2 linked regions of the Callithrix jacchus genome follow. The protein of the gene in region 2 interacts with the protein of the main gene of each other region in a pairwise test. Links are inferred from orthologs where the notes say so. Each region holds a gene or a part of one and is shown on either strand. Other genes may lie near its edges.

Region 1 (10,072 bases), on a different chromosome or scaffold from region 2:
GCAAGCAGATTGCTTGAGCTCAGGAGTTGACCAGCCTGAGCAGCATAGCGAAAACCTGTCTCTACCCAAAATAGAAACAATTAGCTGGGCATGGTCGTAAACACCTGTGGTTCCAGCCACTTCAGGGGCAGAGATGGGAGGATCACTTGAGCCCAGGAGGTGAAGGTTGCAGTCAGCTGAGATGGAACCATTGCTTTCTAGCCTAGCTGAGAGAGTGAGACCCCCATCTCAAAAAAAAAACAAAAACAAAAACAGAAAAGACAAAAAGAAAAAGAAAGAAAAAAGGATTATTTGGCCCAAAATATCAATAATTTCGAGGTTGACAACTGCAATCTAGCCCAATCTCTACAGTGTATAAAGGAAGAAAGTAAGATCCAAAACAGTTAAATGACTTTTATTTTAAAAACTGTTTAAGTTTTAATTAGGCAATACATTCAAAGGTTCCAAAACTACATCATTAAAAGCGTATATAGGACTTGAACAGACATTTCTGCAAAGAAGATATAGAAATGGCCAACGAGCAAATAAAAAGATTCTCAATATCATTAGTCATTAGAAAAATGCAAATCAAAACCATGAGATACTGCTTTCTAACCACTACCATGGCTATAATTAAAACAATAGCAAAAATGGAAAATAACAATCGTTGGTGAGAATGTGGAAAAACTGGAACCTCCATACATTGCTGATGGGAATATAAAATGGTGCAGCTGCTGTGGAAAAGTTTTGCAGTTCCTCAAAAAAAGTTTAATGTGAAATTATGATGTGACCCAGCAGTTCCACACTCTGAGGTATATACAAAAGAAATTGAAAACAGGCACTTACATACTTGTACACAAATGTTTCTAGCAGCAAAATTCACAGTAGCCAAAATGTGGAAACAACTCAAATCCTGAGCTCAGGAGTTCAAGGTCAGCCTGGGCAAAGTGGTAAGACCCATGGCTACTTAAAAAAAAATAGCAAAAAATTAGCTGAATGTGATGGTGCATGCCTACAGTCCCAGCTACTAGGGAGGGTGAGACACGAGAATTGCTTGAATCTGGGAGATGGAGGTTGCGGTGAGCTGAGATCGCACCACTTAACTCCAGCCTGGGTGACAGAGAGAGACTCCATCTTCAAAAAAAGCAAACAAACAAAAAAACAAACTATATATAGATCTCTTGTAAAAAAACAAAAGTGCATATATTACAATAAAAGTTAATGGTTGTTTTCTTTGGTGCAATTACTAGTGATTTTAGGTTTATTGTTTATAATTTTCTATATTTTCTAAAATTTCATATATTTATAATTAGAAAAATATCAATGACTTATGCCCACTTAATTTTAATAAGGTATTTAAGATTAAAATTTAATATGGGCCAAGTATGGTGGTTCACACCTGTAATCCCAGCACTTTGGGAGGCCAAGGTGGGTGCACCACTGGAGCCCAGGAGTTTGACACCAGCCTGGACAACATAGCGAGACCCATCTCTACAAACAAAATTTTTTTAATTAGCTGCGCGTGGTGGCACATGCCTGTGGTCCCAGCTATTTGGGAGGCTGAGGTGGGAGGATTTCTTGAGCCCAAGAGGTCAAGACTGCAGTGAGCTAAGATCACACCTCTGCACTCCAGCCTGGGTGACAAGTGGGACCCTGTCTCAAAAAAAAAAAAAAAAAAAAATTAACATGAAAAGAAAAACCAACCTTAAATACACTATCTTTACATAGTGTGTTTATTGTAGTATTTTGTTTTACTTCACCGAGAAAACAGCTAAAGATAAAGGTTAGGCTTCTGAAGTACATATTGAGTCTTTGAAAGGTAGCTTAATGAAGTAGAAAAAGCAGTTTTGAAACCCAGGTATGTGGCCCTGAGCAAGTTAGGAGGCAGAAGAATAGGGGCTGGAGGCAGGGAACCTAAGGCCCATTCCTGCTGACTGGGTATCAGACCTACTCCCATTTCAATCCCCCTTTTTTCTGCCTGGCAGTTGAAAAAATGAAAGTACCTCTTATTGGTCTCCTCCCACAACCAGTCAGACTGGTCGTGGGCCTAACTCTTCATTCTGATTGGTCCCCTCCTGCAACCAATCAGACTGGTTGTAGGCCAGTGGGAACATTTTAGAGGGTATTTAAACCCCAGAAAATTCTGTAACCAATGCTCCTGAGCAGCTTGCACTAGGCAGTGTTCACCTCCCCCCCGGAGTGTACTTTTATTTAAAATAAATCTTTGCTTTCGCTGCCTTGCTTTGTTTGTGCATTTTGTTCAAAACGCCAAGAACCCAGACAGCTACCCTCAACCAGTAGCAGTTACCTGCTGGGCCTGCTTCCTCATCTCTAAAACAGGGCTGTCACCCCGAATCAGACGGTGTGGTAAGATTTCCACAATTGTTAAAAGAGCCTGACACATAGTAGGAACCCAAAGTCTATACAAAGACTTAACATTCATGAAACAATAGGCAAACTAAAGGAGAAATCCACTGAAGTTTAGGGTGAATACCTTCTGATAACCTGTTTGGTAAAAACTACACTGAAAATCACTGTCTTGTCAGTGTTCAACATTTATGTGAATAATAATATTTAACGTCTACTGAGCCTTTACAAGGCCAAGCCCCAGCCAGGCTGAGATGGTTCCGTTTTTGAAGCTGCATTCCTGCCCAGGAAACAATGGCCCTCAGTGGTTCAGACACTGCTTAAAACCGGCGATAGAGGCAAGTTCGAATGCAGTCCCTCTCCAAAGTCTTACCCACTGCTCCACAATGCCTCAATACCAAACATTTCACACTCAATTCCAAATCCATCTCTTCAGGGCTGCAAAAAAGCCTCACTTCCCAAAGGGCGAGTTCTCCAAACACTGCATTTAGCATTTCGGATCCGGGTGAGTTGAACTCACTAGGATTACGAGAAAAACTAGTGAAATTCAGATACGACCATTAACATCGAAAGTTTTAATCCGTGAAATACTGCTTACGCCCTTAAGTAATTTCAAATGCACATAAGATGGCCATGCGGGTCTCTGCTGGAGATGCAAAAGAAAGGTGAGCAAACTTAATCAATTATGGCTTTCAGATTTTAGTTAATGGAGGAAATAGCAAGTTTCCACTTGTCATAATTACAGGCATCACTATCATTCTATCATTATTCTAGCACTAATGAAAGACCTCAAGAACATATAAAGCAGCAGTAAAGGGTGCTAAGAAATGACAGTGTGGTCACGTCAACTTGCCCCATGTTACATCCAGGGTGTCAGGGTTCAAACCAGGTCTGTCTGGCTCTAGAACAATTGTTCTCTGCTACCTCCAAATCCTGTGTATATGTTTTCACTAAACTATTTTGTTGTTTATAGATCTGAATTGGAAGCTGTTGAGTACCCTGAACTTAGCAACTAACTGATATAAAGGTATCCCTTATAGAAATCTCAAACTAATTCTTCATTCCTTTCAGGAAGAAGAGTCTTAAGAATATGCATTATAAAACATGTTTCAATAAAGTTATTGAAAAAGAAAAAGAAAGGTGGGAAGTTGGCGGGGGGGCATAACACTGTATACTAGACGCAACCTGACATCGTTTGAAAGAAATTCTGTCCCCTACTCCCTTCGGTGAGATTCGCCGTCCCTAATCTAGTCTGGCTACCCCACACTCCCGATTCCTTTAAAAGGGGTTGAAATGGATGTTGCATTAAAGAAAACCCTCCTGCAGAAAGGACCTGAGGCAGAGACTCCCCTGAATTCTGGAACATGTTGGAAGAGTGAGAAAGGAACTCTGGGACTCCGAACTTATTCTCACGGGTGTAAAAGGACAGAGTAAATCCCCATTAGCCAAGCTGGGGAGAAGTCACATCCGCACATTCTAAAGGGCACACAGCCTCTCCCGGACCGTCCCTAGAAGAGGGGCAGCACATTTAGAAACACTGGCGGGCCTCTAGTCCTTGGCTGCCTCGCGGCGACCCTCAGAGCGGGTTTCCCAAGGCTCAAGCTCCTCTGGCAAGGCGCAAATCGACACCACTGCTGGTTGCTAGGAGATACTGCCCCGCCACCTCCTCCAATCAGCACGCATCTCTTTGCGTCCAATCACAAAGGCCAGAAGGGCCGTGGTGGGAGGTGAAAGGTCATACTCTTGTTTGGCGGCCATTTCTCTTGAAGCTCGGCGGTTCGGGACTTCGGGATCGGCTGGAGTCACGAGGGACGAGCGGCGGCCTGGTTGGCAGCGAATAGCCTGCAGCATTCGCCCGTGGTTACGATGGTAAGGAGAAAGAGAACCGGGGGAGAAGCGGGGAGAAAGAGGAGGGAAACCAGTCTCGCGGGGCCTGATGGTTGCTTCGCGCGTTTCTCATTCATCCGCGTGAGGCGCCGCGCACCCGGTCGCCAGCTCCTTTCACGCTGCCCTTGGGGTTTCTGAGGCGCGTGCTCCTCCCGTTGCCTTTCTGTTTCTAGGAGTGCCCGTGCTGTCTCCTCTTTGTTTGAATCCGAGCCTGGGGTATTTTTGGTTGGGGCTTCAGGGTCGGCGTAAAACTGAAAGAGAGTGCACTTCTCACTTCTCTCCAAAATTCACTTTAATTCCTTGAAAGTAATATTACAGCCATGCTCTAGATTAACTCAGTCGGGTGGGGAAGACAGACCTTAGTCAAAAACCAACAAATATGCAATTGCAAATAACAAGTGCTAAGAAGCATGTAGACCGGAGGCTGTGAGGGTGCACGTTAGACATTACAGGCTTAGTCAGAGATGGCCTCCCTAGGAGGTGGAATTTAACCAGAGACCTAAGTGTCCTGAAATACCACCCTTTAAAGAGCAGGAGGAGTGTACCGAGCACAGGGAATAGGAGCGTAAGACCTGCAGCCGGAAAGAAAGCTTGGTCAGTTGGAGAAATTGACAGAAAGGTACAGCCACTTGCAAGAATGGTGGCTTCTAATTCAATTAGAAGCCATTGAATCATTTTAAGCAGACATATGACATAATTTTATGTGCACTTTGAAAAATAACAGTTGCCGTGGTGGATAATAAATTGGAGAATGTAAACTGGAGATCCATTAGGTTATTGGAGTAGCACCATGCCAAGATCACTCCCAATATGCTTATCTTAGTTTAGTAGCCAAGTTTCTTAGTTCTGTTTTTTCTTTGACTGGTGAGTGAGCAGATTAGGGCCCAAAAAAGTCTGAATTCACTGGAGATGCTAATGGTTTGTTGAATAAACAAACATTAAGTGATTGCTGTAAAGTCAGATAGGACCTAGCCCTACCTTCCACAGTTAAAGACTGTCAAGTGTGATCTGCCCTCTGCTTCCTTCTGCAGTCTTATATTAGGGGCTTTGACTGACAATGCTGAATTCTTTGTATATCCCCAAAATCATGTTGTTCTCTTCCCTCCTTTTACTTAAGTTGCTACCCTTGCCTGGAGCAGCATCTGCCCCCCCCCCGGAAATAAACTCTTATCCTTTAAAACTGAGATATTACTTAAGGCAACCTTTCCTTTTCTGTGGATTGCTGTGGTACCCTTGTGCCTAGCATATCTCCTCTTACTACATTGCAGTATGCAATATAATTATTTGTATGTGAGGAGCTCCCCTCCCTATCTCCAGCTTCTTGACAGGGACTGTTACTTGTTTATTTATTTTTAAGAGACAAAGTGTTGCTCTTGCCCAGGCTGGAGTGCAGTGGCTTGATCATAGCTCACTGCAGCCTTGAACTCCTGGGTTCAAGCAGTTCCCCCACCTTATCCTCCCTAGTAGCTGGGACTACAAGTGTGTACCATCACACCTAATTATTTTTGGTAGGAATTGGGGGGGGTCTCCCTATGTTGCCTGGGTTGGTCTTGAACTCCTGGCTTCAGGTGATTTCCGTGCCTTGGCCTTCCAGAGTGCTGGAATTACAGACACGTGCCTGGCCAGCATTTTTTTTTTTTTAGTGGCTTTATCTTTGCTTCTTTCAAGCTCAGAACAGTGAGTGATGTAGGTAGTCAGTGTTATCTTAAGTGAATAGTGAGTATTTTGTTTTGATGGGTTAAAGGTGAAACTGGCTAACTGGATATTTAAATTTCCCTGGTACTCATCTTCAACAAATAAAAGTGAAAATTATGTTTTCTTCATTTGCACACCAGAAAATATTGGTGATTTGGTAGAAGGGATTTGGTGGTGGGAGGAAAAGAATTAATTGGATCCTTTTTTGTTCTTTGTGCAGAGTTTACCCCTTAATCCCAAACCTTTCCTCAATGGACTAACAGGAAAGCCAGTGATGGTGAAACTTAAGTGGGGGATGGAGTACAAGGGCTACCTGGTATCTGTAGATGGCTACATGAACATGCAGGTAAGCTGTAAAGGTTATAACATGGCATTGATTTTGCTTCACCTTATTCCTCAAAGGTTTAGTCTGACTAATAAGAATACATACAATTAAGTTGACAAATATATGGCAAAATTCAAAAATAAAGTCAAGGCCAGAGAGGATACCGTGATGTACTAGGTACAAGACATGGGCTTAAACCGGAATTCAGCCACAGATTTTATTCCTAGGAGTTAAAGTAAGAAGAGCTCAGACGTTCAATTCATAATAATACCATAAGGGAAACACGCTACTTTGCTGGAGAAAACAAAACTTTTACCATCATTTAGCCCTGAAAGAAAGTTTTCAAGTGAAATTTTTGAGTCTTTTAATGAATGCTAAAGGTACAACACCAAGCTATTAAAGAAATTCATTCCTTCAAGGGAAAGACAGATCTGCCAAAGGAATTGAACTGACTGTATGTCAGTTTCTGTAAATGATTTAGCCATGTGTTTTGGTAGGGTTTTTTGTAATTTTCTTTTTATTGTGGTCAAACATACATTAAAATTTTACCATTCTAACCATTTTTAAATGTGTAATTCAGTGGCATTAAGTATCTTCACACTGTTCTGCAACCATCACCACTATCCATTTCCAGAACTTTTTTTATCATCCCAAAGTGAAATTCTTTGCCCATTAAACAATAATTTTCCATTCCTTTCTCTACCTAACTAACCCCTGGTAACCACTATTCTACGTGTCTATGAACTGTGCATAATACCTCATATAAGTGGAATCGTATATTTATCCTTTTGTGTCTGGCTTGTTTTACTTAGCGTAGTGTTTTATTCAAGGTTCATCCATGTTGTAGCATGTGTCAGAATTCCATTCCTTTTTTAATTGAATAATATTTCATTATATGGATATACCACCTTCTGTTCCATTTGCCTCTTGGTGGATGCTGGGTTGCTTCCCTCTTTGGACTGTAGTAAATAATGCTGCTGTGAAGACGATTGTACAAATATCTGTTCAAGTCTTGTTTTCAGCTCTTTGGGGTATATACCCAGAAGTGGAATTACTGGATTACTGGTAATTCTATGTTTAATTTTTTAAGGAGGCCAAGCATGGTGGCTCATGCGTATAATTCCAGCACTTGGGGAGGCTGAGGCGGTGTACTGCTTGAGCCCAGGAGTTTGAAATCAACCTGTGCAACATAGTGAAACTACATCTCTCCAAAAAAATACAAAAATTAGCTAGGCATGGTGGTGTGGTCACCTGTATTCCTAGCTACTCAGGAGGCTGAGGTGGGAGGATCACCTGAGCCTGGGGAGGCTGAAGCTGTAGTGAGCCATGATCACACCACTGCACTCTAGCCTGGATGGCAGAATAAGACCCTGTCTCAAAAAAACTTTTTTTTTCTGTCACACTATTTTCCACAGCAGCTACGTGGCTTTTATATACCTACCAGCAATACACAAGGGTTCCAATTTCTCCGCATCCTCACCAACCCTTGTAATTTTCTATGGGTGTTTATAAAATAGTTAACCTAATGGGTGTGAAGTGTATCTTACTGTGGTTTGGATTTGCATTTTCCTAATGACTAATGAAGAGCACCTTTTCGTGTGTTTATTGGCCATTTGTTTATCTTTGGAGAAATGCCTGTTTATGTCTTTTGCACATTTAAAAAATTAGTTGTTTGGGTTTTTTGTTGTTTTTAATAGTAGTAGTTTCCAGGCAGGTTTTTAAAGGCTATCAAGATGGTTGGTCAATCCAGTCATGAACCCTGGGATTCCATACTTGAAAGAAGAGTACTAAAAGGAGTACTTAAGTAGGCAGAGAGCTGTGATTTTCCTGAAGCATTTACCACCTAAGCATAGGACACTAAGGTCCCCAAAGCGTAATTTGGGTTTGGAAAATTCCCTAAAACAGGAATCATTTACCAAGACCATAGAAAAATCTGGGACGTAAATGAATTGTGATGAAAATATTCGGGAATTAGTGGTGATAGTTGCACAGCTTTTTGAATATACTAAAAACCACTGAACTATACACTTTAAAAGAGTGGATTTTATGCTATGGAAATTAACATCTCAATAATAAAAGAATTACCACTTAATATTTGTTTTAGAATCAATATAGCTTGCTAGTGAGCCTGCAAGAGTTACAAAATGTCTGGGTAGCCAACCACTTTGAGTAGTCAACCATATTGATACCAGCATTTGAATTTGTTCACTTAGCAAATATTTATTGATTCCCATTATGTGACTGGCACTGTGAATATAGCATTGAACAAAGCAAAGTCCCTGCCCTCCAGAGTTTATGTTTTAATAGTGGGAGGTGGTAATATAATGTGATAACAGGTGTGATAGATGCCATCCATGAAGAAAAAGGGGGTAGACAGTATGTGCAATATTATATAGGACAATCTCTCTGAGGCAACAAATTCTGGAAGATACCAGAATTAATGTACAACTCAGTTGAGTGTCTGGGGAAAAGCATCGCAGTTTGAGGGAATGGCAAGTACAAAGGCCCTGTGGTGGAAGCATGCTGGGTATGTTCAAGGCATAGCAGGAAGGCCAGAGCAGATTGAGTTAAGGGAAGAATGATAGAAAGTTAGGCTGGAATGGTGGACATAAGAGCCTGTTGAGTGATGGTGAAGACTGAATTTAATACATGATAGAAAGTATTTGGAGCATTATTGTTTAGAAACCAGTTAAATGTTGTAATTACCTTTTACAGAAAATTAATTGCTCTTAATATTATTTCTTATAGCTGTTACATACAAACTAATTGTCTCAATAACCTCATACATTTCAGACAAAACTGTATCATCTGGATAATTAGATAACTTTTTGTTTTCTGTAAGAGGGAGTAACATCAGTAGTAGTGTTCATTAACATATTTTTCATGCTTTATGTTACATCCTAATTTAATCCTTATTGTTAAGCCCTATTTTTCTTTTCCACATGCTTAGTTGTGAAGGAAACATCCCTCTCCCTTCACTCCTCTTAGTTCCGTCTCTGAGTCCCAGGTGGCATTGATTGTGATTTTTGTTTTTAATTACAAGTAAAGCTTATTACCTATATGTGTAGAAGGAAAACTAAACATTTTGATATAAAATTAGAAATAATAAGAGTTCAACAAAATAACTGTAAATGTGAAACTTAACTATTTAACTTTCTATTAAGAACTTCTTTTTCCCTGTTTATTAGTACAAAATTTTAAAAAAATTATTATTCATTGGCCAGATGTGGTGGCTCATACCTATAATCCCAGTACTTTGGGAGGCCAAGGCGGGAGGATCACTTGAGGGCAGAAGTTCAAGACCAGCTTGGGCAATATAGCAAAATTGTTTTGAAGTAGCCAGGCTTGGTGGCACATGCTTTCTATCATAGCTACTCAGGAGGTTGACGTGGGAGGAGCCTAGGAGTTCGAGGTTTTGGTCAGCTATGATTGTGCTACTGCACTCCAGCCTGGGCAACAGAGTGAGACCCTGTTTCTTAAAAGGCAAGAAAAGAAGAAAATTCTTACTTAATTACCTGCTTTGGATGTTGCCTAATATGAAAGTATTTGGCATGTTAGCCATAGCTTTTGTAACCCATTTGGACACCTCAGTATGATTTATAATGTTGACTCTGAGAAAACAACATTTGGTGCTTTAGAATGAATTTTCAGAAAACTTTTTAATCACAATTTATTCATAAATTAGAGACTGCTTCCACACAGTTTTGATATCTGAAATATTACGTAACCTGGGAGATTCAGAAACTTATGTTGAAACAAGCTTTATTATATATTTGTTCTACATCCATGAATGTTAATTTTACTGAAGGTTTATATGAA
Region 2 (9,568 bases):
CGGCAGGGTGAGCCCGGCCGGCCGAGACTGCGCCGCGAGCGCGGGGGCCTCGAAGTCGCGGGGCCAAGGGAAGGGCGCGGGGGGTCCCCAGAAGTTCCGGACCTGGGGACTGGGAGCGGCGCGAGGGGCCCCCAAGTTCCAGGGCCGGAGGGAGCGCAGGGGTCCCGAAGTTCTGGAGTCGGGGTCGGTGAGGGGACCGCGCGGGAGGTTCCCAAAGTTCTGGACCCGGCGTTGGAGGAGGCTGCGAAGGAGTCCCCAAAGTTTCGGACCTGGGGTGGGAGCCAGGCGCGGGAGGGGCCCCGACGTCCGGGACCAGGGACTGGAAGGGTGGCAGGGGGTCCACCTCGAAGTTTAGGAGTCTGGGACAACGAGGGGGTCCCCAAAGTTCCGGACCGGGTTAGAGGGGGCGGCACGGAGGGCAGTCCCCGGAGTTCCGGACCTGGGGTTGGAGGAGGCAGAAGAGGTATCCCCGAAGTTCTGTACCCAGCGACGGGGCTGTCGCGGGAATCTCGGAAGTTCCAGGGTCAGGGCGCGCGTCCCGGAGTTGGGTCGCGCACTGGGTGTCCTCCCGCCTCGGGTGGGGACTGGATCCTGAATGAATATTGGCCCCCTCCCCGCCTCCGGAGTGGGGTGCATGGGACGGGGCCTCACCCACCGGCCAGATTGGGGATCCCGGGCACCGGGCGGTGTCGGACCCCCCTTCGGGAGCCCCGTGGCCGGCGGCATCCGAGCGCATGACTAGTTGGTGAGTAACTTTCCCCAAACGCTGCAAGTCGCAGCAGGAGCGGCCGGACCGGAAGGGCCTGGGTTCCGGGGACCCCTGCGTCCCCCAACTCCCACCTGGCGCAGGACCTACCTCCGGTCCAGGCCAGAGCTCCCGCCCCACCCCCACTCAGGGGCTCCAGTTTCAGACCCTGTGACCGGCGCAGCAGCTGCCCAGGACAGGATGGGGGGGCATACCCCCTTTGACCATAGAGGCTGCTGGGCTGGGGCCTCCCCGCCTATCTTCCCCCTCCCCCAAATCCTTCCTTGGTCCCCTGCACATCCGGGTGGCTGGATGGACCAATGGGGAGGTTGGGGAGCCCTGTTCTCCCAGTGGTGGCATTGGGATTGGCATTCTGCTCTGCTCCCTGTGATGGGCACTGGGATTGGCTGTTTGGCTACATCTTGTCTTTTTAACTTGGCTGGGGGCTGCCTGGGGATTTGGAGTCTGGGCTGCCAGGTGTGCCTCTAGCCTAGGGTGGGAGCTGGGGGGGTCCCTCTGCAGGGCGCAGTGGGGAACTGGTCTCCCAGTACTACACACCTCTCAATGCCCCATTTTTGATGGAGAACCTCTCTCTGGCCGGTCATGGGTGAATGGAAAGAACTCAGCAGATATGTGGCCTTCACAGCTCAGCCCAGGATGGAGGGGGCTTCACGGGGCGAGGTGGGGGGTGCCGTAACTAGGACGATGAGAGATTTACATCTGAATGTCAACAGCAGCCACCTGGCTCCTCTCAGAGGGCCATCTCCTGTACAGGGTGTGGTGAGGGCTTCCCCCAGACAAAGAAAGATGGGGTCCACTTGCTCTGAGTGATCTATAATGATAATCTGGCCTTTTCATTTCTTTCTATCATTTCTTTGTTTTGTGGAGACAGGGTCTTGCTCTCTTGCCCAGGCTGGAGTGCAGTGGTGCTATCATGGCTCACTGCACTGCGGCCTTGACCTCCTGGGCTCAAGCGATCCTCCCACCTCAGCCTCCCCAGTAGCTGGGACCACAGGCACATGCCACCACACCTGGCTAATTGTTTAAATTTTGGGTAGGGGTGGGGTCTCACCATGATGCTCAGGCTGGTCTCGAACTCCTGGGCTCAAATGATCCTCCTGACTCAGCCTCCCAAAGCACACCCAGTGCTTTGGGCCTCTCTTGCCTTTTTGATGGAAAGTTCTGTGATAATGGGTCCTGAGCTGGAACCTGCTTGGCTTCCCTCAACCTGGCCTGAGGGACACTCATAGTCCCTCCTCTCTCCCTAGGGGCCAAACCAGCGGCTCCTGCCACCTCTCTGGCTGCCCCCTAGAGCCTGCCCAGCCCCGCCTGACCAATGTCCACAGCCAGGTGAGCTCCCACCTCCCCAGCCTGGACCTGAGCTTTCTAAGGGGGCATGTCCGGCCCCTACTGATCACCCTCTCCCCACACAGGGAGCAGCCAATCTTCAGTACACGGGCGCACGTGTTCCAAATTGACCCGGCCACCAAGCGAAACTGGATCCCGGCGGGCAAGCATGCACTCACGGTCTCCTATTTCTACGATGCCACCCGAAATGTCTACCGCATCATCAGCATTGGGGGCGCCAAGGTCCGGGTGGGGTCTAGGTGGGGCAGAGGCACCAGGGGTCCTGGTGACACGCGTGGGTCTGGTGGCTGGCTTGCTGTGTGCCCAAGGGATGGGAAACTCTGAGCCTTCCGGGGCCCTAGTCTGTCCCCTGAAATGGCTCAGAGTAAAGACTTTCCAGAGGCTAATACAAGGTGATACCTGGGGGTTTCATGTCTCGTACTATCCGTCCCATCAACCTTGAACTTTGTCCCCCAACCCCAGGCAATCATCAACAGCACTGTCACTCCAAACATGACCTTTACCAAAACCTCTCAGAAGTTTGGGCAGTGGGCGGACAGTCGCGCCAACACTGTTTACGGCCTCGGCTTTGCCTCCGAACAGCATCTGACACAGGTGGGCCGGGTGAGGGGGAGGGGGAGGGAGGGGATGAGGCTGAGCCCAGTTCTCCTGGGCAGGCTCTGGGACCTCGAGCAGGTCCTCTATCTTCCCATCTGCAGGATGGGCATGTGGGATGAGATGAGCTGAAAGCCCCTTTAAGGTTCACTGGTTTGAGTCCTAGTTCATTTTTTTGTTTTTTTTTTTTTGAGACGGGCTGGAGTGATCTCAGCTCACTGCAACCTCTACCTCTCCGGCTCGAGCGATTCTCCTGCCTCAGCCTCCCGAGTAGCTGGTGCCCACCACCACGCCAGTCTAATTTTTTGTATTTTTAGTAGAGGTGGGGTTTTGTCATGTTAGCCAGGCTGGTCCTGAACTCATGACTTCAAATGATCTGCCCACCTCCGCCTACAAAGTGCTGGGATTACAGATGTGAGCCACGGCCCTCCTCTAGCTCTAATTTTGGATATACCCTGATCCTCTATGGGCCATCAAGTGGGTGGCTGGGCTGGACACTTCCCCACATGCCCCAGTGATATTTTCATCGTCACCTCCCTCTGCCCTGTGCCCTCTCTATACTTCCATTATGATCTTTATCTATGCTTTTGTTGATGATGAGTGCTTTCATGAAGATTTTCTTCTTCTTCTTTTTTTTTTTTTTTTTTTTGAGATAAAGTCTCACTCTGTCCCCTAGGTTGGAGTGCAGTGACATGATCTCGGCTCACTGCAACCTCTGCCTCCTGGGTTCAAGTGATTCTCCCACCTCAGTCTCCAGAGTAGCTGGGATTACAGGCGCCTGCCACCTTGCCTGGCTAATATTTGTGTTTTTAGTAGAGACAGGGTTTTACCATGTTGGCTAGGATGGTCTTGAACTCCTGACCTCAGGTGGTCCACCTGCCTCAGCCTCCCAAAGTGCTGGGATTACAGGCATGAGCCACCACGCCTGGCCTTTTTTGTTTTCTTCTAGAAGTTTAAGAATTTTCCTTCCTTTCTTTTTTTTTTGATGAAGTTTCACTCTTGTTGCCCAGGCTGGAGTGCAGTGGCGTGATCTCGGCTCACTGCAACCTCCTCCTCCTGGGTTCAAGCAATTATGCTGCCTCAGTCTCCATAGTAGCTGGGATTACAGGTGAATGCCACCCCACCCAGAAAATTGTTATATTTTAAGTAGAAATGGGGTTTCACCATGTTCAAACTGTTTACCTCAGGTGATCCGCCCCACTCGGCCTCCCAAAGTGCTGGAATTATAGGCATGAGCCACCGTACCCAGCCTAAAAAATTATTTTTTAACTAAGAAAATTTATTTTAAAACTAGGGGGATGGGATGGGGGGAAACATATTCTATCCTAACTGGGAAATTTATCGCTCGTCATAAATAGGTAGTAAATATACACATTTAATACAACAAAAACAAGAATGGGATGATTTCTTTCTCATTGACTTTCCATGTCTCCTAGAGCCTGAGACCTAATCTCTTTGTTATAAAGGAATACTAACAGGTGTTAAAGACAGAATAGCACCCACCTGAGGCTCTCTTTGTTGAAATAGGCTTTATAAAGAAAAGGGGCCAGATGTGGTGGCTCATTACCTGTAATCCCCACACTTCCTGGGAGGCCAAGGTCAAAGGATCACGTGAGCTCAAAATTTCAAGACCAGCGACCCCATCTCCAAAAATATATATATATAAAAATATAAAAGGTCAGGTGTGGTGGCTCATGTCTGTAATCCCAGCACTTTGGGATGCCAAGGCAGGCGGATCACGAGGTCAGGAGTTTGAGACTAGCCTGGCCAATATGTGAGACCCTTGTCTCTAGAAAAAATACAAAAATTAGCTGAGTATGGTGGCACATGCCTGTAGTCCCAGCTATTCAGGAGGCTAAGGCAGAAGAATCGTTTGAACTTGGGAGACAGAGGTTGCAGTGAGCCAAGATTGCGCCACTACACTCTGGCCTGGGTGACAGAGTGAGACTCCGTCTCAAAAAAAAGAAAACAATGGCAGGCACAGTGGCTCATGCCTGTAATTCCAGCACTTTGGGAGGCCAAGGTGTATGGATCATGAGGTCAAGAGTTTGAGACCAGCCTGGCCAAGATGGTGAAACCCCACTTCTACTAAAAATATAAAAATTAGCCGGGCATTATGGTGTGCGCCTATAGTCCCAGGTACTCTGGAGCCTGAGACAGAAGAATCGCTTGAACCCTGGAGGCAGAGGTTGCAGTAAGCTGAGATTGTGCCACTGCACTCCAGCCTAGGTGACAGAGCGAGATTCCATCTCAAAAAAAAAAAGGAGGAAAAGGGCCATTCTGGGCAACATGGCTAGATCCTGTCTCTACAAAAAGTTCACAAAATTAGCCAGGCATGATGGTACACACCTGGAGTCCCAGCTACTTGGTGGAGGGGTTAGGTGGAAGGGTCACTTGAGCCAGGGAGGTCAAGGTTGCAGTGAGCCAAGATCACGCCACTGCATTCCAGCCTGGGTGACTAATTGAGACCCTTTCCTAAAAAGAAAAAGAGGAGGCCGGGCGCAGTGGCTCACACCTATAATCCCAGCACTTTGGGAGGCCAAGTCAGGTGGATCACAAGGTCAAGAGATCGAGACCATCCTGGCCAACAAGGTGAAACCCTGTCTCTACTAAAAATACAAAAATTAGCTGGGCATGGTGGCGCGTGCCTGTAGTCCCAGCTACTCGGGAGGCTGAGGCGGGAGAATTGCTTGAACCCAGGAGGCGGAGGTTGCGGTGAGCCGAGATTGCGCCATTGCACTCCAGCCTGGGTAACAAGAGCGAAACTCCATCTCAAAAAAAAAGAAGAAAAGAAAAGAAAAAGAGGAAAAGGGAATTCCTTTCCCTTTCTCAATGTGGCCCAATGTATTAAAATGCCACCTTCGTGATCTGATGCCACCTGCCCACCCACCATGGTACATCATTTTTCAGACCTTCTCTCCTTCTTCCACAGTGTGTGATGAGAGAATGGGTACAGTTCCAAAGTGACAGGGCTGTCGCTGGGTGGCGGTTACCTGGTTTGTGGGGATGGGCTGGGGGTTGACTGTCTGTTCCTCCCCACTCCCCTAGTTTGCCGAGAAGTTTCAGGAAGTGAAGGAAGCAGCCAGGCTGGCCAGGGAGAAATCTCAGGATGGCGGGGAGCTCACCAGTCCAGCCCTGGGGCTCGCCTCCCACCAGGTCAGCACTCCCTGCCCCCCTATGCTTCCTGGGCACCTGTGAGTCAACCAGGCCCAGGATTGGGGGGACCTTGATATTAGGAGACCAGGCACTGTGCTAGTCCTCAAGACCCAATGCTCCCAGATGACCTAAAGTTAGACCCATGGCAGGGGCCATGGAGGAGGGGTGTGGAGCATGTCATGGAGGGTCTGGGCCTTGCCTGGGGTCGGCAGGGGGCACCCAGTAGGTCCCAGTAGCAAAACCAGCTCAGATGGCAGAATGGAAGACTAGAAATTGAAATAGCTAAGTGTGGCCAGGCGCAGTGGCTTATGCCTATAATCCCAGCAATTTTGGAGGCCAAGGTGGGAGGATCGCTTGAGTCCAGGAGTTTGAGACCAGCCTGGCCAACATGGTGAAACCCCATCTCTACTAACAAATACAAAAATTAGCCAGGCGTGTCGGCGTGCACCTGTAATCCCAGCTACTTGGGAGGCTGAGGCAGGAGAATTGCTTGAACCCAGGAAGTGGAGGTTGCAGTCAGCCCAGATCATGCCACTGTACTCCAGCCTGGTGACACAGTGTGACAGAAAGAAATGGCTAAGTGTGAGGCACAGCAATGAACTGGCCCTGTGTGTTTTCCCACATTAATTTATTCAGCATCATTTATTGAGCGCCTGCTGTGTACCAGGCCCAGGGCTGTGCACAGGGGTTGCAGAGATTTAGAAAAACAGGCTGAACTCTACCCTCAGAGCCAGCGGTCCAGGCTTTGGGGTGGCTCATGAAACACAAATTCAGCCTGGGCAGGGCTTCCTGCTGAAATCCTAAACGGGCCACAGGGAACAGAACAGGGAAGGGAACAGCATGGAGCTGTCCGATTGTCCCTCTCCCCTACCTTGGAGGTTCTAAGTATCTTGGTTTAGACTAACCTGCATCAGACTTGCTCCTAGGGGTGGTGAAACCCCAGGAAGGCAAGGCTGAGGGCATGGGCCTGGAACTCTCAGCCTAGGGGCCACAGGGAGCCATGGAGGGTGGGTGAGATGGGGAGGGACACATTCGGATCCGGTGCTGTGAAGGACCTGCTTAGGGTGCATAGGTCAGTTGGACCCCCTGATGTGACGACCCCGGTCACATCAGCCTTGATCCCAGCCACTGACAGAAGCTACTACTCATCGTGACCTGCTCTTTTCCCCGTGCACAGGTGCCCCCGAGTCCCCTCGTCAGTGCCAACGGCCCGGGTGAGGAGAAACTGTTCCGCAGTCAGAGCGCTGACGCCCCCGGCCCCACAGAGCGCGAGCGACTCAAGAAGATGCTGTCCGAGGGGTGAGGGGCGGGGCTTGGGGCGCGGCAGGGGACGGGGTGGGGATGCGGGACTTGGAGGCGGTTCTCGAAAGCCAAGGGAGTGCCAGGGACTGCGGGATCTAACTGTGGACCCAAGACCTGGGAAAGGGGAGGAGCTGATCCCGCTGCTGCTCCATCCAGAGCCGACCCCGCCCACGGCTTTGGCAGGCCGGTCTGTATTGAACCGGTCCCTGTCTCCTGGCTGATAACCTCGCCCCATCCATGCCTCTCGGGCTTAGGATAAACCTGGGGCGCCTCCCCACCCCGACCACGCCCCCCTTGGCTGACTCTCCTCAACCTCCCAACCCTCCTCTGCCATCCCGACAGTGTTACTGGGCGGACCCCATGTGCCCACTTCTTTGACCAGGTCCCTGACAAGACCCCGCCTCTTCGGGACTGCCCCATCCCCAAGCTTCGCACTATTTTGGCTGCGCTCCTAGCCCAGCCCAGTGTCGCCACGTCCCCAGCACACCGTGGCCCTGAGTCCATCCCCTGGCCCTACGCCACCCCACCCTTGGCCCTGCCCCCTACCCAGCATTGTCCTTGACACCACCCCCAGCCCAATCTCGCGCCTGGCCACGCACCAGCCCACACCACCCACCTCTGGCCCCGCCCCCTAGTGGAGCATCGCCACTGACTCCACCCCCAGGTCAGTGCCACCCCACCCTGGCCCTGCGCCCTAGTTCAACCTCACACCCTCTCCAAGCTTCGTCCTCACCCAAGCCCAGAGCCATCCCAACCCCTGGCCCCGATCCCAACCCCTGGCCCGATCCCAACCCCAGCATTGCCCTCTGACTGCCCCCGCTCTAGCCCCATGTCACCCCCTGCCGACCCTTGCGTTTCTGCAGCTCCGTGGGCGAGGTACAGTGGGAGGCCGAGTTCTTCGCGCTGCAGGACAGCAACAACAAGCTGGCAGGCGCCCTGCGGGAGGCCAACGCAGCCGCAGCCCAGTGGAGGCAGCAGCTGGAGGCTCAGCGTGCAGAGGCTGAGCGGCTGCGGCAGCGGGTAAGGGCACCCCCTCCCAAAGAGAGCCCCCCACCTGACCCGGGCAACTGTGGAGCCCACGCCTCTGCCAGTCCCATCTGCCCTGGGTGCATGGACTGGCCGGGTGACCTCAGCAGGTCACTGTCCCAGCCCCAGTTCCTTGCTCTGTAAAATGCGTGTGAGACAATGCCAACTTCAGAGGGTGATCAGACCCTAAAGTCCAAGCTACGTGAGTGGGGGAGGTGCCACCAACCAAGGGAGTTGGGTGCTCGGTCCTGGATGTGGCTGGACAGGAGGCAGAGTCCCTAGAGGTTGGGGGAGCAAGGGAGAGTGCAGGCAGGGGTGGTAGGGGCTGCTATTCCTGTCCCACAGGTGGCTGAGCTGGAGGCCCAGGCAGCTTCAGAGGTGACCCCAGCCAGTGAGAAGGAGGGGCCGGGCCAGGGCCAGTCACTGGAGCAGCTGGAAGCTCTGGTGCAAACCAAGGACCAGGTGAGCGCCAAGTATGGTTCCCGGGCCTCGTCCTCCCTCACCTCCAGAGGGAAAGCCAGGACCCCCAGAACAGACCCTGGGAACTCTTTTCCTCTAGGAGATCCAGACCCTGAAGAGTCAGACTGGGGGGCCCCGAGAAGCCCCAGAGGCTGCCGAGCGCGAGGAGACTCAGCAGAAGGTGCAGGTGTGTGTGGGCGCCAGGAGGTGGGGTGAAGGTGGGTGACCATCACCTCAACAGACAATTGGGACGATCTACCTAAGATGATAAAGTAGTATTGGGAGTCCCAGGCCCGCGCCAGGCCTGATGGCCGGCAGGCGCTGTGTGAACAGTGGGTTCAGCAGGCAATCTCGAGTCCCGGCTGCATTCCCACGCCAGACCCTGTCATTTCCTCCTGTTCTCAGCCGGAAATCACAGAGCCTGCACTGGAACCAGGTGTGGCTTGGCTTTTTTTGTTTTTTCTTCGAGATGGAGTCTCACTCTGTCGCCCAGGCTGGAGTGCAGTGGCGCAATCTTGGCTCACTGCAACCTCCACCTCCCAGGTTCAAGCGATTCTCCTAACTCAGCCTCCTCAGTAGCTGGGATTACAGGTGTGTGCTACCATGCCTGGCTAATTTTTTGTATTTTTAGTAGAGATGGGGTTTTACCATATCGGCCAGGCTAGTCTCAAACTCCTGACCTTGAGCAATCCACCCTCAGCCTCCCAAAGTGCTGGGATTACAGGAGTGAGCTGCCACGCCCAGCCTTGGCTTGGCTTTTGCTACAGGCTTTATCTGAGAAATGTTCAGGGGATACCTTTTTTTTTTTTTAATTTTGAGACAGGGCCTCACTGTGTTACTGGGGCCAGAGTACAGTGGCGCAATCTCAGCTCACTGCAACCTCCACTTCCTGGGCTCAAGCGATTCTCCTGCCTCAGC

What was found.
Region 1: the proteins of HOMER3 (region 2) and SNRPF interact in binary tests that used the Homo sapiens proteins (3 or more experiments, as listed by UniProt). The two-hybrid records come from large-scale screens. The link is inferred for Callithrix jacchus from reciprocal best matches to the Homo sapiens genes HOMER3 and SNRPF.

What each region holds. Positions count from the first base shown.
Region 1 is NC_133510.1:98,936,334-98,946,405, forward strand, and holds the start of SNRPF (small nuclear ribonucleoprotein F), read left to right. Parts: upstream 1-4,083; 5' UTR 4,084-4,212; coding exon 4,213-4,215; intron 4,216-6,148; coding exon 6,149-6,274; intron 6,275-10,072. UniProt on the Homo sapiens protein: Plays a role in pre-mRNA splicing as a core component of the spliceosomal U1, U2, U4 and U5 small nuclear ribonucleoproteins (snRNPs), the building blocks of the spliceosome.
Region 2 is NC_133523.1:17,623,887-17,633,454, reverse strand, and holds part of HOMER3 (homer protein homolog 3), read left to right. Parts: 5' UTR 1-745; intron 746-2,013; 5' UTR 2,014-2,081; coding exon 2,082-2,095; intron 2,096-2,178; coding exon 2,179-2,335; intron 2,336-2,575; coding exon 2,576-2,707; intron 2,708-5,755; coding exon 5,756-5,863; intron 5,864-7,040; coding exon 7,041-7,162; intron 7,163-8,028; coding exon 8,029-8,185; intron 8,186-8,536; coding exon 8,537-8,653; intron 8,654-8,750; coding exon 8,751-8,837; intron 8,838-9,568. UniProt on the Homo sapiens protein: Postsynaptic density scaffolding protein. Binds and cross-links cytoplasmic regions of GRM1, GRM5, ITPR1, DNM3, RYR1, RYR2, SHANK1 and SHANK3.